Linked DNA regions of Struthio camelus. The protein of the gene in region 2 interacts with the protein of the main gene of each other region in a biochemical or structural test. Links are inferred from orthologs where the notes say so. Each region holds a gene or a part of one and is shown on either strand. Other genes may lie near its edges.

Evidence for each region. The genes of interacting proteins can lie anywhere in the genome.
Region 1: the proteins of PDZK1 (region 2) and CRHR1 form a complex in vitro, tested with the Homo sapiens proteins (2 studies listed by BioGRID and IntAct, with this or other methods). The link is inferred for Struthio camelus from reciprocal best matches to the Homo sapiens genes PDZK1 and CRHR1.

What each region holds. Positions count from the first base shown.
Region 1 is NC_090966.1:3,502,311-3,510,106, forward strand, and holds the start of CRHR1 (corticotropin-releasing factor receptor 1), read left to right. Parts: upstream 1-4,792; 5' UTR 4,793-5,113; coding exon 5,114-5,161; intron 5,162-7,796.
Region 2 is NC_090942.1:106,741,945-106,749,211, forward strand, and holds the start of PDZK1 (Na(+)/H(+) exchange regulatory cofactor NHE-RF3), read right to left. Parts: upstream 3,019-7,267; 5' UTR 1-3,018. UniProt on the Homo sapiens protein: A scaffold protein that connects plasma membrane proteins and regulatory components, regulating their surface expression in epithelial cells apical domains.

The DNA of each region.
Region 1 (7,796 bases), on a different chromosome or scaffold from region 2:
CTCCTCACAGCCAGCCATGCAGTGTCACTTCTCTTACCCCACTTCACTCCACACGTGCAAAGCTATAGACATGGTTCCTCACCTCTGCCCTTGCCACTGGCACATGCTAGAAGCACCTGCATGTCCCTGCCTCACCGGAGCTGCACCTGGCCACCATCCATGCAACAGTACCACATAAATACAAGCTGGCAGAGTGAGGGGCATAGCCCTGAGGGACCTGGCAGCACAGCCCAAACGTCCACAAGGGAGGGATGCCATCAGGCACCTTAGGCAGAGATGCAGCCTGGGAGGCTCAATTCAGGATGCATCCTTACACTGCTAAGGGAGAACAGAGTCATGTACGGGACAGCTCCATGCTGGCAGGGTAGTGCATCTCTCTTTTGCGCTGTGCACTAAAGCAGAGCACTTTAGGCTGCTGGATTGATGGGATCAGTCTCCAGAGTAAAGCTGGGGAGCTTTACCCAGCTACAGACTATGGGGTTTTGTTTGATGGGAAACGCCAACTGGAATGAGGAGAAACATTTGGCAGATTTGGGTTGACTTTGGTAAAGCATTTTGATTGCAGAAAATAATAATTATGACTATTATGATTATTTTATCATTCTCCTCAAGGTTTAATTAGCTGTAAAACAAAAGCCTTTGTGTTTCTGTTCCATTCAAAACGACATTTCCTCCCAAAAGAAATTTTAAAAATACAACAGGCTATTTTAAGACACTCAGAAATTGAATGAGATGCTTAGTTAGATCTTAGTTCTTTGTGGGTTTCTCACCTTCCTTAAGTTGGCTTTTTTTAATTTGCAGACACTGTTTTGGGGCTCAGTGTCCTTGGCCCCCTAACAACATGTCACAGTACTGGTCCACCCACCCAAGCTGGATATGGGTTTAGACTTCATGAACTGGTAGGGAGTAGCTCACACATAGGTTGGCTTTCTATGCATAAACATGGTGAACACGTGGTGTCTGCCACTGCATCATCCAGAAGCTAGCGCCAATGTCTGACTTTTATCCAGAGCATTAAATTGAGATGTATGAACATGTGGCAAATCCCTGCTTACTCGGAACAACGTCCGTGTTTGATGCATGAGATGAGCATGAGCGTCTCTTCTTTGGCTTGCTCCTTGCTCTACCTGACATGCCAGAGGGAAACACCTTCCAACTGAGTGGGGAGTTTATCTCCTTGAAGCACTCAGCCAAGCCAGCTACTAAATGGGGGGGTTATCTCCCCCCTTTGCCACTTCATCCCCATGGAGCACATTGTAGAAACCAAGCAACAGTGGCAAGGCCAAGGATGAAGGCTTCCACCAGCAAGCATGTAAGAGTAGCCCTCCCAGGTCAGCTCACAGGTGAATCTAGTCCAGCACACTGTCATGGTCTGTAGTCAACCACAGGTGTCCAGGGAAATCAGGGAAATGCAAAGCAACAGGAATCCTTAGCAAGAGCTCCTTGGAGCGCACTTCCGACTTCCAAGGACTGTGGCAGAGGGACAGGCTGAGCCAGAGGCAGCATGATAAAACTTAACAGTTCTTGCATTATTCTACCACAAATCTGACCCTTTGTGCATTAGCACAAAATCCCTTGGAGTGAGGATAGGGAAGCACTGGGCTAGCTGGGCTCTCTAGCACTAAGTATCTCCAAGAATCAGTAGACAGGCATCCATTACGGCTAGTCAAGGCAGAATACTTCCTGCCTTGGAAAAGAGGACAGACTAGATAAATCCTCCAAGGCTCAGTATGAACACTGTTAGAGCTATCTGATCCACACCTACCTACCAATAGGGAAACTGAGGTATAGCCCCACAATGGTGATCTCAGCTGCGGTTTTCTGCAGCCAAGCACACCAAGAAGTTATACACTAGACTTCCACTAGCCTGGCCTGAATGTCCTGGACTCTGACAGTCCAAACAAGATTTTTCTTTATTTTTTTTTTGTAGACATCACACTGGTAAGTAAAGCCCTGTGGCTCACACCTAGCAGTGCTAGAGCATCAGCTCCACATGGGAATTTGGGACACGTGTGCTTAGCTCCTGCATGTGCAAGCAGCAGTCCTGGTTGCCTCCCCTTGGCCATGCCATGCAAGAGGGACAGGCACAGCAACATGCTCCGGTTTTCTCTAGCTGCACTCAGCACGGGGCGAAGGGCCGGCTGCAGGGTGGATGGGGACAACACCAGCAGCACTGTGGTTGTGTAAGTCACGCGTACAGCGCCAAAGTGCAGGTGTCCTGGAGCTGTTAGGAAACAGAAGTGTCAAACCATGTGCAGTTACATAAAGAAATAATAATGTACCAAAGGCAGATAAAGTCATGCTAAATCACTGCTCTCCCTCCTTCCTGGATATCCGATATTTCTCTTCATTTCCCCCATCCCTAATACCCTTCTCCCACATTCATCTCTCTGCTGCACGGAGGAATTTGAGATTAACCATGACGAATGGAGTGATTTCCTTGTCTAGGGGACTGTTTTATTTTTCCTCTGCCACATCTGACAAGTTGCATTTTCCTATAAATCCCCTCAATTAGGCCTTTAAAACAGCACTGCAGTCGTTTCCCTGATATATGGGGAAGGAATTATCTTAATGTCCCTGGCAACCACTTCCTTGACTAAAAATAGTTTGGGTGCACTTTCGCTTCCCTCCCATCACCCCATGGTTTTGGCATCTGATAAGAGCATGGTCACTGCATGCATCTTGCCCAGAGGATGAACTGCAAGGCCTGAGGAAGGGGAAAACTGATGCTTTTGCCTTTTTTCTCACCGTGACCAGCCTCGGTTCGCTCTTCCTGTGCTCAAGAGGGGCGTGGGAAAACAGGGTCAAAGCCTGCTTTGCCTGGAGGACTTGAACCCGACCTCTTCCCCACTGTCTTTTCCAGGCTCTTCTAGGGTGAGGGAACTTTCTCAAGGCCTCCTCTCAAAACTTTTGCATTTTAAATTGGGCTAATTGAAGCTCAAGGTAATACAAAGGTGGATCTGGAGTCTATCTGGTCCCGTCACTTGTCAAAGGGCTGGGATGTTAGGAGACCTAAGAAATAACAAGTTTCCTGAATTTACTAGAGCTTTACATATTCTCAAACTCCTTTCCCAAAGCAATGACACAGTTGATTAAATCCAGCTAATGCTGGAAGATTTATGTCTGCGTTGTTTATTGCTTTAGTTACTGGGCCAGGAGGATTTACCCTTTGAGGCCTGGGATGAACCATCCACACAGCTCCTGGGTGTAACCCTTGGCTGGCTGCTCACGTGCTACGGTCCAGCCAGCGGCCAGCAATCCTATGTACAACCACGTCAGCCAGGGGTGCCTGGAAGAGAGCAGGATATGACCCTGGCCCCTACATGGTTTGGAGAGAGACACTTGCCACTGACACGTTGGCACTTAGATATGGGAAGGGGGAAATGTCTCTGGTCCCTACAGGAGCATCGTGACTGGAGGAGGCTGCTGGGAAGAAGGTGTCAATGCTGATGTGACATCTCCCATCATCCCTTTATTTTCCCGGAGATGCAGCTTGACTCTAGTTGTTTCCACAAGGAAAGAAAAAGCCATAACTTGCTGACTGGCTCTTTCTCCTGCTGCTGAGTCACTGCAAGCAGGTAGACTCCCGGCACCTTTCCCTGGGGCCAGCACAGCGGCTGTGGTTTGCACCAGCCCCGCAAACCCCAGGCAGGATGTGGAAAGCGTGCCCCAAAACCCTACCCCAACTCAGGGAGCGGGCTTCACCTGGCGCAGGCCACGCCCAGAGATTCGACACCTGGGACATAGGGAAGTCTCTCCCACGCTCACAGCCGGGGCTGACGCATCCCCAAGCACCACTGGAGCTGGCAGGAGTGTCTCATGGTTAGGGTGGAAGGGAAAAAATTAGTCAAGACCCCAGAAGTCTTGTTCTGCATGACCTCTCACTGCCCTCCACCCTCCCCAGGACACTTGTCCCCAACGGACACATCTCCCCCAAACCAGTGCCCCTCTACCCCATTAGTTCAAGCCCTCCTGTTTCTGCTGCATTGCCTGTGCCGTGCCACTGCCAGTCCTGCTGGGGAAGCCGCTCTCCACCCAGCAGCCTCCCACCTCCCCTGTTACTCAGTTTCCCCTGTTATAGCCTGGTCTGCTTCCTCCAGTCCAAAGCCAAGCCTAGGCTCTCCTGGGGCTTGGGCGAGGCTTACTTGTGCTGCAGGCACAAGGATGGACATGGGGCCATAGGGGTAAGGAGCAGCTCATCTCTGCCAGGGAGTTACAAGGCACAGGGCTGCTGCAGCCCTAGAGGAAGCTGATCAGGGCCAGCAGAGCAAGGGAAGACAAGAAGGCACCAAGAGCCCCTGCTCCCTCTCCAGAGGGAGATGCTCAAAGGAAAGGACAGATCCTTGCTCTCCCTTCCCTCAAACCCTCTCCCAGAGCCTTGAGCAAATCCTCCTAAAAGTTGCAGTCAAAATCCCTTTGCATACACACACACACACAAACACAGGTGTCCACAGCCTCCATAAAAGCGCTTGCAGCAACAGCAAAACGCCTGCCTTTGCGGAGGAATAGTCTCCCACTAGAGAGCGGAGGGACAGAGCCGGGGGACGTGGTCCAGGCTGGGCAGGGGCTTGCCTGCCCCACGTAGGGACGCATCCCCAGCAGGGCAAGGCAGGGCAGGGGGACTGAAGGGCTTCCCTGGGCAATCGGAAAGTTTGGGTTGCAAAAGATGCTGAGGGAGGGGATGGCAAGAGAGGAAGAGTTGCAAGGCACCGGGGCTGTGGAGGAAGGAAAAGGGGAGGAGGAAGCAGCGGAGGAGGAGGGAAAGACAGGGGGAGTGGGAGGATGGCAGAAGAGATGTAACCCATCCCCAGCCGAGCAGGGGAGCTGGAAGGTGGGGAGCCCAGACGACCGGCTCGCAGCAAGATTATAAAAGGCAGGAGCAGGTTGCTGAGCAAAGGAGAGGGAAGGCGAAAGGCACCTGCTTCCCTCTGCACAGCCCAGCTGAGACTCAGGGTGGCGGGAGTTGCAGTGCCAAGAGCCTGGGTCCGTGTCGATGACAAGCTCGTTTACACAAAGCCCAGAGGATTTTACCCCAGACAGCATAAGGAGCCCAGCAGAAGTGGGGACTGCTGCCAAACATGCCTGGGAGAGCTGGGCATAGTGGGAGTTAAGGATGATGTCCGGCATACGTCCTACCCTCCTCCTCTTCCTCCTCCTGCAGGTAAGATGCTCGCAAGCCCTCTTCTCCCGGATGGGTTCTCCTTCCTTCCTCCCCACCACCCCTTTGCCTCCTGGACTGCCAGGTTTCTCTTGAGTGACTTTTCCATTGCTTTGAATGAAGGGAAAAGTGAAATGAGAAAAACCATTACCAAGAGCCCCCAGAAGGATTCCTCCAGTCAAGTCATGGGGTCTTGGCAAGTTCCTGGTGACCAAAAAAAGGCGGGGGGTGGGGGGGGAGGGAGCTGGCATCAGTGAAAGGATCAGTCCAAGGGGGGGACTCCCAGCCTGGAAGCAGGGGCTGAGGAACAGGGCATGTCCCCAGGCCCTGGCGGTGGCCAGGAGAGCCCAGCTCAGGGCTAGCAGCCGGGCATGCTGGAGGAGCCAGGGCAAGCTGCCTTGCAGACCAGCCTGGCTCTGCCTTGCACCTCCCAGTGTCACCAGCTGCCACCAGTTTCCCTTATTGTGCTGAGAGAGGGCGGGGGGGTGGCTGCTCTGGGGGTGTGATGGACAGGGATGGCACAAATGCGTAGCCTAATTCTATCCCCTCGGTTGTTTTCCTAAAGAAACTGCTCCTTTTTTCCCCATCAAGCACAAGACTTTCCTCTTTAAATTGTTCACGATGGAACTGTAGCCACTGCTAATTTTGCAGCTCTGCACAAAATGCAAATGCTTTGTCAGAAACAATATTCCTCCTCCCCGAGAGCTCATCGAAAAAGCAAATGTTCCCAACCCAAAGAATGTTTAAATCCCAAACCCTGGGGGGATGACAAGAAAAAAAGGTTTTCAGTGAAAACCTGAGCATTATATCAACAAAACTGGATATGCAGTTACACAAAACAATCAGCTTTTTGCTTAAACGTCTGTGTCAAGAGGGTGAAAAAGAATTTGCATGGCTCTCCACAAAATGCTGTCTCAATAGCACAGTTGCGATGCAGAGTTGAAACGACAGGAAAAAGCAGCGGGTCATCCCTCCCACCTTAGCACAGTTGCAGTTTGTATCCCATGGGCTGGTTTCAGAGCCATGCACCACCCAGCAGCAAGATCAGGGAGAAGAATTTAGCTTCACATTTGGAATAAGAAAGTTCTCACTTAAGTGATGCGAAGAGCTAATACGTGCCAGCCAAGCCTGCTGCCAAGTTGGTGTTGCTTTTTAGAAGCTCCTCTTCTGAACAACCTGCTTTCTTCTTTAACTGCATAGCCCTTATTCTGTTTTATGAGAGCTCTTCTGCGGTTATGTTACCCAGTGCAGGTTTTGTTTGGCTCTGATGTAAGAAAAGGTGAGGAAGAGCAGCCCTGCACCCATGCATGGGGACAACATTGGCAAAGCAACAACGCCTGCGCAAGAGAGGCAGGTTCTGCAGTGGGCAATCTTAGTCTGCCCGCCGAGAGTTCAGTCTTGTGAGAAGCCCCAGCTATTCCTGGCCATGGGCAAACAGGTCTCCCGATAGTGCTGATGGTCCTCAACAACCACTCCGGCAAACTGGAGACTACCCCGATAGTGCTGATGGTCCTCAACAACCACTCTGGCAAACCGGAGACTACCCAACCGCATTGGCCAGCCCTGAAAAGAAACGCTCAAGCAAAAAAGTACCCCTTCCCAATATAATTTTTTTCCTGAGAAACATATGCATTCAGAATTCAGCCCCACTTTCAGCACAGTCCAAGCCCCTGAAAGCCCCAGCACCGCAATTTTCCCATGTGGCCATTGCACGGGGCCTTGCATGGGGTCTAGGAGCGCGGCCCCAGCCATGTGTGAGGCCAAGCTTCTCGTCTCTAAGCACTCTTAGCCGCATGGGCTAAAAGTGACCACGAAACTGTAGCCCAAAGGGAGAGCGTCCCTGCAGCCAGGCAGACCCAAACCAGCATCCAGCCAGGAGCGCAGAGACCTGCAGCGGGTGCTAATCTCTCCTGCTTCGGCAGGTTTTGCAGGCTGCAGATCTCTGAGCTGGCACAACTAAGGTGTTTCCAACGCACCTGGCTGTCAGCTCCAGTTTAGCATAGGTTTGTCCCCGTTGCCTTCCCAGGTAGACATCCCTTGGAGAAAGGACAAACGGACAAAGAGATAGGCAGCCAAACTTGAAACAGGCTGCAAAATGCTCTTTTTGTGCCCTACAACTCATTTAAACAAACGAAACAGAAAGAAACAGTTCACCTGCAGTTTTGTCAGGGACTGATGACATTTCTGGGGCTGATAAAGTCCTATTATTTTATGAAAATGAGTTTGATGGGGTGGGGGGTGGGAGATTCCCCTCTCCCTTGCCCTCCTCCACATCCAGTAACAATAAACATGAAAAAGGGCCACCACCCCTTCGCTACTCCAATCTCTGCAGGAGACGTGACGCCTGCAGCAGCAGGACGTGCTGACCCTGGGGATCTTCCAGTCCTGGATTTCCTTAAAAGCCTGAGTTAATTCTGGGTGTGTGAAATCACCCCCGTGATTTCACATCTCCAGTGAAAAAGCGAATGGCAATGGCGCAGCCTGTTCCCAGAATAGCTGCTGTATTGCCATAGGATGAATGTATAGAAATACAATGAGTCTAGCCTGCGGACACCGTTCGACTCCATCCTGAAATACAGCCCTGCTCCCCAGAAATTCAGCGGAGAGCCTGCTGCAGGTCCAGCCCAGAAGTCTGTTG
Region 2 (7,267 bases):
AGGTGTGCTAATGCATCCAAAGCTGGTGAGCCCTTGAGGGACCTCTTCTGTCCTTCCCCCGTAAAAGTGAAATTTACTTAAGAATGGAATCGAATAAAGGCAACTTAAAATATCAACTCTTATGGTTCTTGAGCCTTTTGGACTGTGCTCTCAAACATTCATACAATTACAAAAATGAGGAACGTAAGCAAAAAAACCCCCTGACCTCTAACATTTCACGGCCTACAGATCTCTAGGAAGACGTCCAAATTCTCAGGACTTTGATACTGCCGGAGCTGGCCACAGTGACTTAGGTGGTGTGGTTCTGTTAGCACAGGGACTAGATTTATGGGGCCCATTCTCCGCAAAGGATGTCCCCGTTTTATAGCCAGTTGTGGTAATGTAAGGACCTTTGTTCCTCCCCTTGCATTTTCCTATATGCTAACATTTGCAAAATCCTTTCCATCGTTCTTTTTGCTAGAGCTTTCTGATGTTCAGTCAGAAAAAGTTATCCTACTTATCTGTGTTACCAAAGGAGCCATCTGTTTCAGATATTTGTTTTAGATTTACACCAGACAGAAACATTTTCTAGTAGCTGTAAGTGGTCGCATGGTTTCCTCAGCACATTAGTGAATGGAAAAAGGAGCCTGTGTTCTTGGAGCTTGCCAGGATCCCTGGCTTTAGTAAATTCACAAGTTTTGATAAGTCTTAACTTCAAAATAAAAGCTATTTGTCAAGGTCCCACTCTTTACAAGAAGTGCTGTCCAGATGTCAGGTTTGCTTTTTGGCCCTGTTTTAGACACAGACGTGAGTGGAGCATGTGGATCTCTAATGCCCATTGGTGCCAAGATAATGGCTCGTATGTAACTGTTATTGACCTCTGAAGAGTTTATACAGATTCATGTGTGAGTTTTAAAAAAAAAAAAAAAAAAAAAAAAAAAAAGTATTATCTAGTCTCTGGATCACTTCTACTTTCTTTGGTAACCTGCGTTTGTGTGTGTCTGTGTGTGTTTTCTGTTGGCAGTAGTGAAGAAACGGGTTTTGTGGTCATTTCACTGGATGAGAGGAGTAGAAAACATGGCTATTAATGACAGATTTGTGAAGTAGATCTTTGAAGTTTATAATACAAGCTTAAAGCTCTAAAGCTTTGTTGAATAAAGGATACCTTTTTTGTTAACAAAGCTTTACAAGGGTCTAAACCTAAATTTGCATGAATACATTTCACCTGTTCAGTTTTGAAAATAAGCTGGCTACTCAAATGATACGCATCACTGTCAGCGTTATTTTTTTTGACAAAAGGTTTATGTGCATGCTTTGCTGTAGAAATATTCCCTCTTTAATCTTTATAATAGTGACTATGCTAATCGCAGCTGAACTCTCTTGCCGGGGAGCATGGGTCTGGATGCCCTTTAAAACCCATGTAAGGAGGCATTTCTAAATAATTTTTGCTTGCCTGCCTTGGTTGCTGCATACTCACTGACCATCAGCTCACTTGTCTCTTTGTAGTGCTGTCCTTTTCTTGGAGTCATATGACACAAACTAATTAATGAAAATTAATTTTCGGATGCAGCCTATTGGGAAAGCAAGGACTCTTATTAACGTCCTCTGCTGACTCCAGCTGGGACAATTTGAAAAATTCTCCCCAGCTCCCTGCAGATAATTATACCCCTGTACCTGAGAGTGACAGAACGGTGGTATGCCTGGTCTAAGCCACCACAACCCAATGTATTAACAGGAGGTACTATTGCTTTCAATTTATATTAGTATACATGACTGTGAACTGTGATGTCTGAAGGCTCTAGTTCATAGCCTCTGTCAGGTAGAGGTATGGTGACTGAAGAAGCTACTGTCCTCATCGGAGGGGGCAGTGGCCTCTTCAGCTGTCCCAGCTAAATGCGACAAGAATGATGAATCAGAGCCTTGGACTGTTTTAAGGACTCCCTCAGCACAGTACTGTGAAGGTGTCTGGTATTTGTTCCTGTATCCAGCCTGTTAAAAATCAGTACAGCCTTCTCACTTTGCCCCTTATTCTGCCAGTGATGTTTTCCCACTTTGGCAACTATTAGGCAAAACAGCAAGTGCTTTGATGATAGAAATACTTAGTTCGCTGAGATCCTGCTTAAATATGAGGCAAAGTTCACTTGATCTACTAAATGAATATTCATCAGTCATCCTTTAATTACCGCTTGGGTATGTACATCTTTCTTTTTCTGGTGACCGCGTGATCCTGATACGGTAAAAAGTCAGGGAAATAAAGGAGAAGCAAACAGAGTTGGCGTTGCTGGTCTAGGGAGGAGAAGGAGACAATATCCCTCCTTTTAGCTTTTGGGCCTTCTGTCCTCCTAAATCATGTTCTGTTCCTAATCAGCCAGTGTTTATGGCAAATAAAAGTACTCTGCTATCCAGTGGAACTTTTATGGTCAAGGGAAGCCAGCCCTTTTCTTCTTGGTAGACCTGTCGGCAGGGGATTACAGTGGCAGTTCCCTTCCCTCAGGCTTTGCTTTTTATATTTCAAATAGTGAATTATCTTCCCTAATGTCCTTTTCGCTTGAGAACATAAACTGCAAATGAGTGCTTTCTTCTTTAGTTCTTCAGTAAGGATTTTGTATTGATTATGAGTTGAGCTTTTGAATGCTGAATTTTTAATAGAGTTAATTGTGATGTTTGTGCAGCTTCTTTTGCTGCCATGTCAGGCTGAACTCAATGTTTAAAAACTGGAATTTTGTATTGAAGAAAAAATTTGAAGGCCTTATAAATTAGGAGTTTTGTGAGTTGAGTAGGTTCCTCAATGGAGGAATGTGTTTGTCCGTAATAAATGGATGTATACCTGTGTGTATATATCTGTGAGCATGCACAGAAATCTGCCTGTCTGCAAAACTATTCGGATAACAGCAACAGAACTTGATTGGATTAAAAGTTACTCAAGTGGCAATGCCTTTGGAATTCTCTTTTTCCCTCGGGCACTGGTAATGTGGGAAGATTTTTCTTTGCAGTTCCTTATATTGGGTGTTTTCAGGACATAAATTTCTTCAGTTCTGCATTTTAATTGCTGTATCAATCAAAAGTTTTTGTACATGCAAGATGCTGAGACGTTTGTAACATATATATATATATATATAATATATATATATCTTTCTTAATCTACCAGTCTAGCTTTTCCAAATCCATGCAGCACCTGATGCTTTTCGTTTCCTCGGATATGTAAGCTTATAAAATTGCTTTTTCTGATCTATGAATGAACAGAGTAAGTTACTTAGATCTCAGTTGCAAGTGCGTTTCTTGCCCTTTGGAGATGAATTTCTGAATTTGACAGCAGTGTATGTTAGTTTTTCTAAGCTTTGGAAATATTTGTATTTAAAAAAAAGAAATCTACTCCACTGTTTCCTTTAAGGAGCTTGAGGAACAGATGCTTATGTAATCACTACAGAAAGCACATACTGCTCCTCCAAAAGTACAGCTCTATGAGACAGGAAGTATACAGACCTAAGACTTAGACAGCAAACAGGTCTGAATCTCTTTCCCTTCCCATTTCCAGTTCCCTTCCTACACCCCTCAAAAAATCTGTAACCAATCCAGGAAATTTCCCTGGTTTCTGTATCACCTCTTTATTATTGAGTATTTTATTTCACTTTGTCAGTAGAGATGCTATAATAACATTTCTTTGACCTAAGCTTGGTGTGAACAGATGTTGCGGGGGAGGAGGTTAGTTTGCATTAACCTCAGCAAATATAAATGCTTCACTGAAGCCAGGAGATCCATTGTGACTTTTTTTCATATGCCAGGGATCTAACTTTTGCTTCAGATTTCCTACTGGATGCATCTCGTCTTGCTACCGGAAGGACTTGAACTGGAACAGCATTCACTTACCTCTCTGAGATCAGTGATCGTAATGGAAAGTCTGAATGTAGGCTTGAAGGCAAAGATGTGATTTATATGCAGGCTGCCTGTAGACGTTTCCATCTTCTTGGTCGCTTTATAATTGCCTTTGTATTGAGGGAATTATTGTGTGCTGCTCTGATGTGGCTTATATGATGCTTATAGAAATGTATGGGGGTGGATAATGGCTGCTCTTCATTAGTTATTGTCACCTCTGTGGCTTTGTAAGGCTTGTGTTTGTTGCCACAGGAAGGAAACAATTGCCGCTATGCTAGGCGCTACGTAAATGCAGAATGCAGCCTTGTTCCTGGGTAAACCTTGAAAACAGTTACTATAAGCGTTGTGAGGAATATAAATCTAGATATTAGTTGAACCCAAGATAATTTTAATATGAGAAAATTATTTACTACAAAAATAAATTCTAATAAGCTACACAGGCCAGCAGAGTTCATTATAAGCTTCTATAATTCTTCAATTTCTTTGGTGAAAATCTCCAAACAAGCGACTGACCCTACCCGAAACCTATGCCTAAGTACTAAGAGCAGAATAAATCTCCTTAAAATGCAAACATGGAAATAACATTGGCTTGGTTGTAAGAGCAAGTTTTGATGATGGCAGAGCTTATGTCCCTGATTTCAACTGGAAGACGACACTCAAACTTTCTAAAATACCCACTTTTTGTGGAAGATCGTCCTAAGTGACATGGCGACATCTGGGCCTGCTTAACTTATCCAGAAATGCTGAATTCGGTTCTGAAGCGGAGCCAGCAGGACACCCCTTCTGAAGAAGTAAAAGCTGTGGAAAAGGAAACAAAATTCTGTTAGCCATGGGCATAGCTGAAGTTACGTGAATCTGCTTCCTCAGGCAGGCCATCCACAGTAGAGAGAATTTAAAGATTTAGGTGACTGGGGAAGCCGGCCTATGGCCAGAGGAAAGTTGTGTGTGTGCCAGTAAGCTCCACATTATTTGAATCCATATGATAAATAGCAAGGTCCCAAGAAGTTAAGCACTAACTCAAACTCTGCTCCCTTCTTGTTTTGCTTTTTCTGGAAGCTATGCCATTATTTATTGCTTTTCATTTGTATGTGCATATGAGAGATTCCCAACAGAGCCCTATAATGATTTCCTAAAGTTAAACCACAACTTGTCACTAATCAAGTCAGATTCGCTGGTGTTAATGGTGGTATTTAAATCTGCCCTTATATGATTTAACTGTCACACCTTCTTTTAAGCCCATGGAAACAGTGTGTCCCTTTAAAGAGGATGATGGAATAAGAATCTTCCCAACTGTGTGTTTAGTGACAGCAAGGTGTAAGGAAGAGGTAGCTAATGGACGCTTAAATCAGGTAGGCATTTATATTCCAAAGTAAGTGGTGCTATTCATTATCCATGTGCTTTTGTAGCTAGATCACTGGGTAGGGAATTGAAGATGAAGGATATTGTCAATGCCTTAAATTCTCCTAGGGCAACCCTTACGGAAATTCCTCCTAGTGCTGACTTTGTGAGTGGTAATAATGTGTTATATTAGTCTGGGAGTTTGATCATTGGACTGTGATAGTCTATTGATTCACCTTAATACTGCAGAGTTCCATAAATAATTAGATAAACGTGGAATGTTGATTTTTGCAAGGTTTGCTTTTATTTCTACTTGATTGACATTACACTTTTTTATTATTTTGATTTAAAAAGGAAAGAAAAATTAAGTTGCAGCTTTTGACAAATTGGTACATGAACCTGTTCTCTCTGTAGTTACAGAATACATATATCTTGAGGTATGAAATTTGTAAGCCCTCTGAGTTCCCTTCAAAATTCTAAAACTTCACAAGGTGATTAAGAGTAATAATGATCACTATGGCAAAAAGCTTTCTGTTTCAAGCCAGTATAGAACTCTTGGGTTTTTGTTTTTTTAATTCTAGATATAGGGAAGCAAAAATGATAACCCATTTGTCATTTGTACAAGCCAATGTTTTATGAAAGTGATACTCTACTAAAAGAAACCCAACAAACTAAGCCTTGAACTGAGGTACAGGGGGAGGTTGAGAAAGATGTTGGCATAAGCTTGGAAACCGGAGCAGAAGGGCTTGCAAATTGCAGTTCAGCTTTTCTTTGGCTTTCTAGGATTGTGACAAGAGAAAAGAAAAAATTTTTTAAACTTGTAATAGGAAGCAAAACTGACACTCAGATAAACACAGGCAGTATTCCCATTGTGAGGCTGCACAGCACATGACTGAATTTTATGAAACTGAGGGAGCATAGCCTGCGTCTTAGGCCTCAGAGGAAGTAGCTTGGCTTTTCACAGTTGCTGTCTTTTGAATGATTCTCAGGCTTACTCAGCCTAAATGTTTTGTGTTGATACAGAATGGATTAAAACTTTTAATTTCCCTCCTTTGGCAGATTAGTTTTGTGCGCACACATTTTTTTTTTTTTAAACACAGGCAGATTTAAGATAGTATGTTAGTTATATGGATATACTGCTGCAATCACTTACATCTCTGTGTGCATGCACATTCCTTTATAATTTAGTATTACAGGGAAATCTGTGATAAGTAGGCAGGCACCCATGTTTTATTAAAACTCTAGAGGGGATAAGACAAAAAAGAGCGTCTTATGCATGGCTGTTATTAGCCTCAGATTTGGGACTGCAGTTAGGAGGCGAAAGTCTTTGTGATAGGTTGGGCTTCATTGTGGGGGGCCTCTTGATCTTAACTCGTTTGTAGACCAACACGTCCAGAAGGCTGACCTGATGCATGATTGAGGTGAAGGCAAGTAGCTAGGGTAGATTACAGCCAGGACTATTGGAAGTCCAGAGGGCCTGGTGCATGGCTTTGTCCTGCCTGGTCCAGGGGCACTTATGTCCCACAGTAGGAAAAGAGCAGTTTCAGAGCGCCAAGAGGATATCTCCTTCTTTCACTGTTTTGATGGGAACCAGGCTTTACTACCATATCACTTACAAAACTGAAAGCTAGACCTGTCCAGATTTGGCTCTAGAAAGATCTGATAAGTCCTCTGAAGTGCTTTTTTGGAACCTTAGTTGTAAAACCAGAATAGGGTGTTACACAGTTACAGATCAGTTACTGAGAACCACTTAATCTGGTGTGGGTATCTTTGGTAAAACTATAGTTTACCTAGTCAGGGGTCCCTCCGACTATACCGTTCTTAGTTCAGTTTGACTTAAATTATCTGTTACAAACAATCTACCTTCTCTTTTGGTATTTGCCCACCACTGTGGCAATTTGCCAACCTTGCTTGAAATTTTTCTTCAGTCACCACAAGTATATGCATATGAAGACAGCAGCCCAAAGATACCTTGGGAAATAACTTTTGGGGTTTGTCTTTCTCTGGTACTGCTGCCTTTGAGTTGAACAAAGTAAGGTGAAAATATCAGGATTTAAATAGCTGAAATCAATCACTG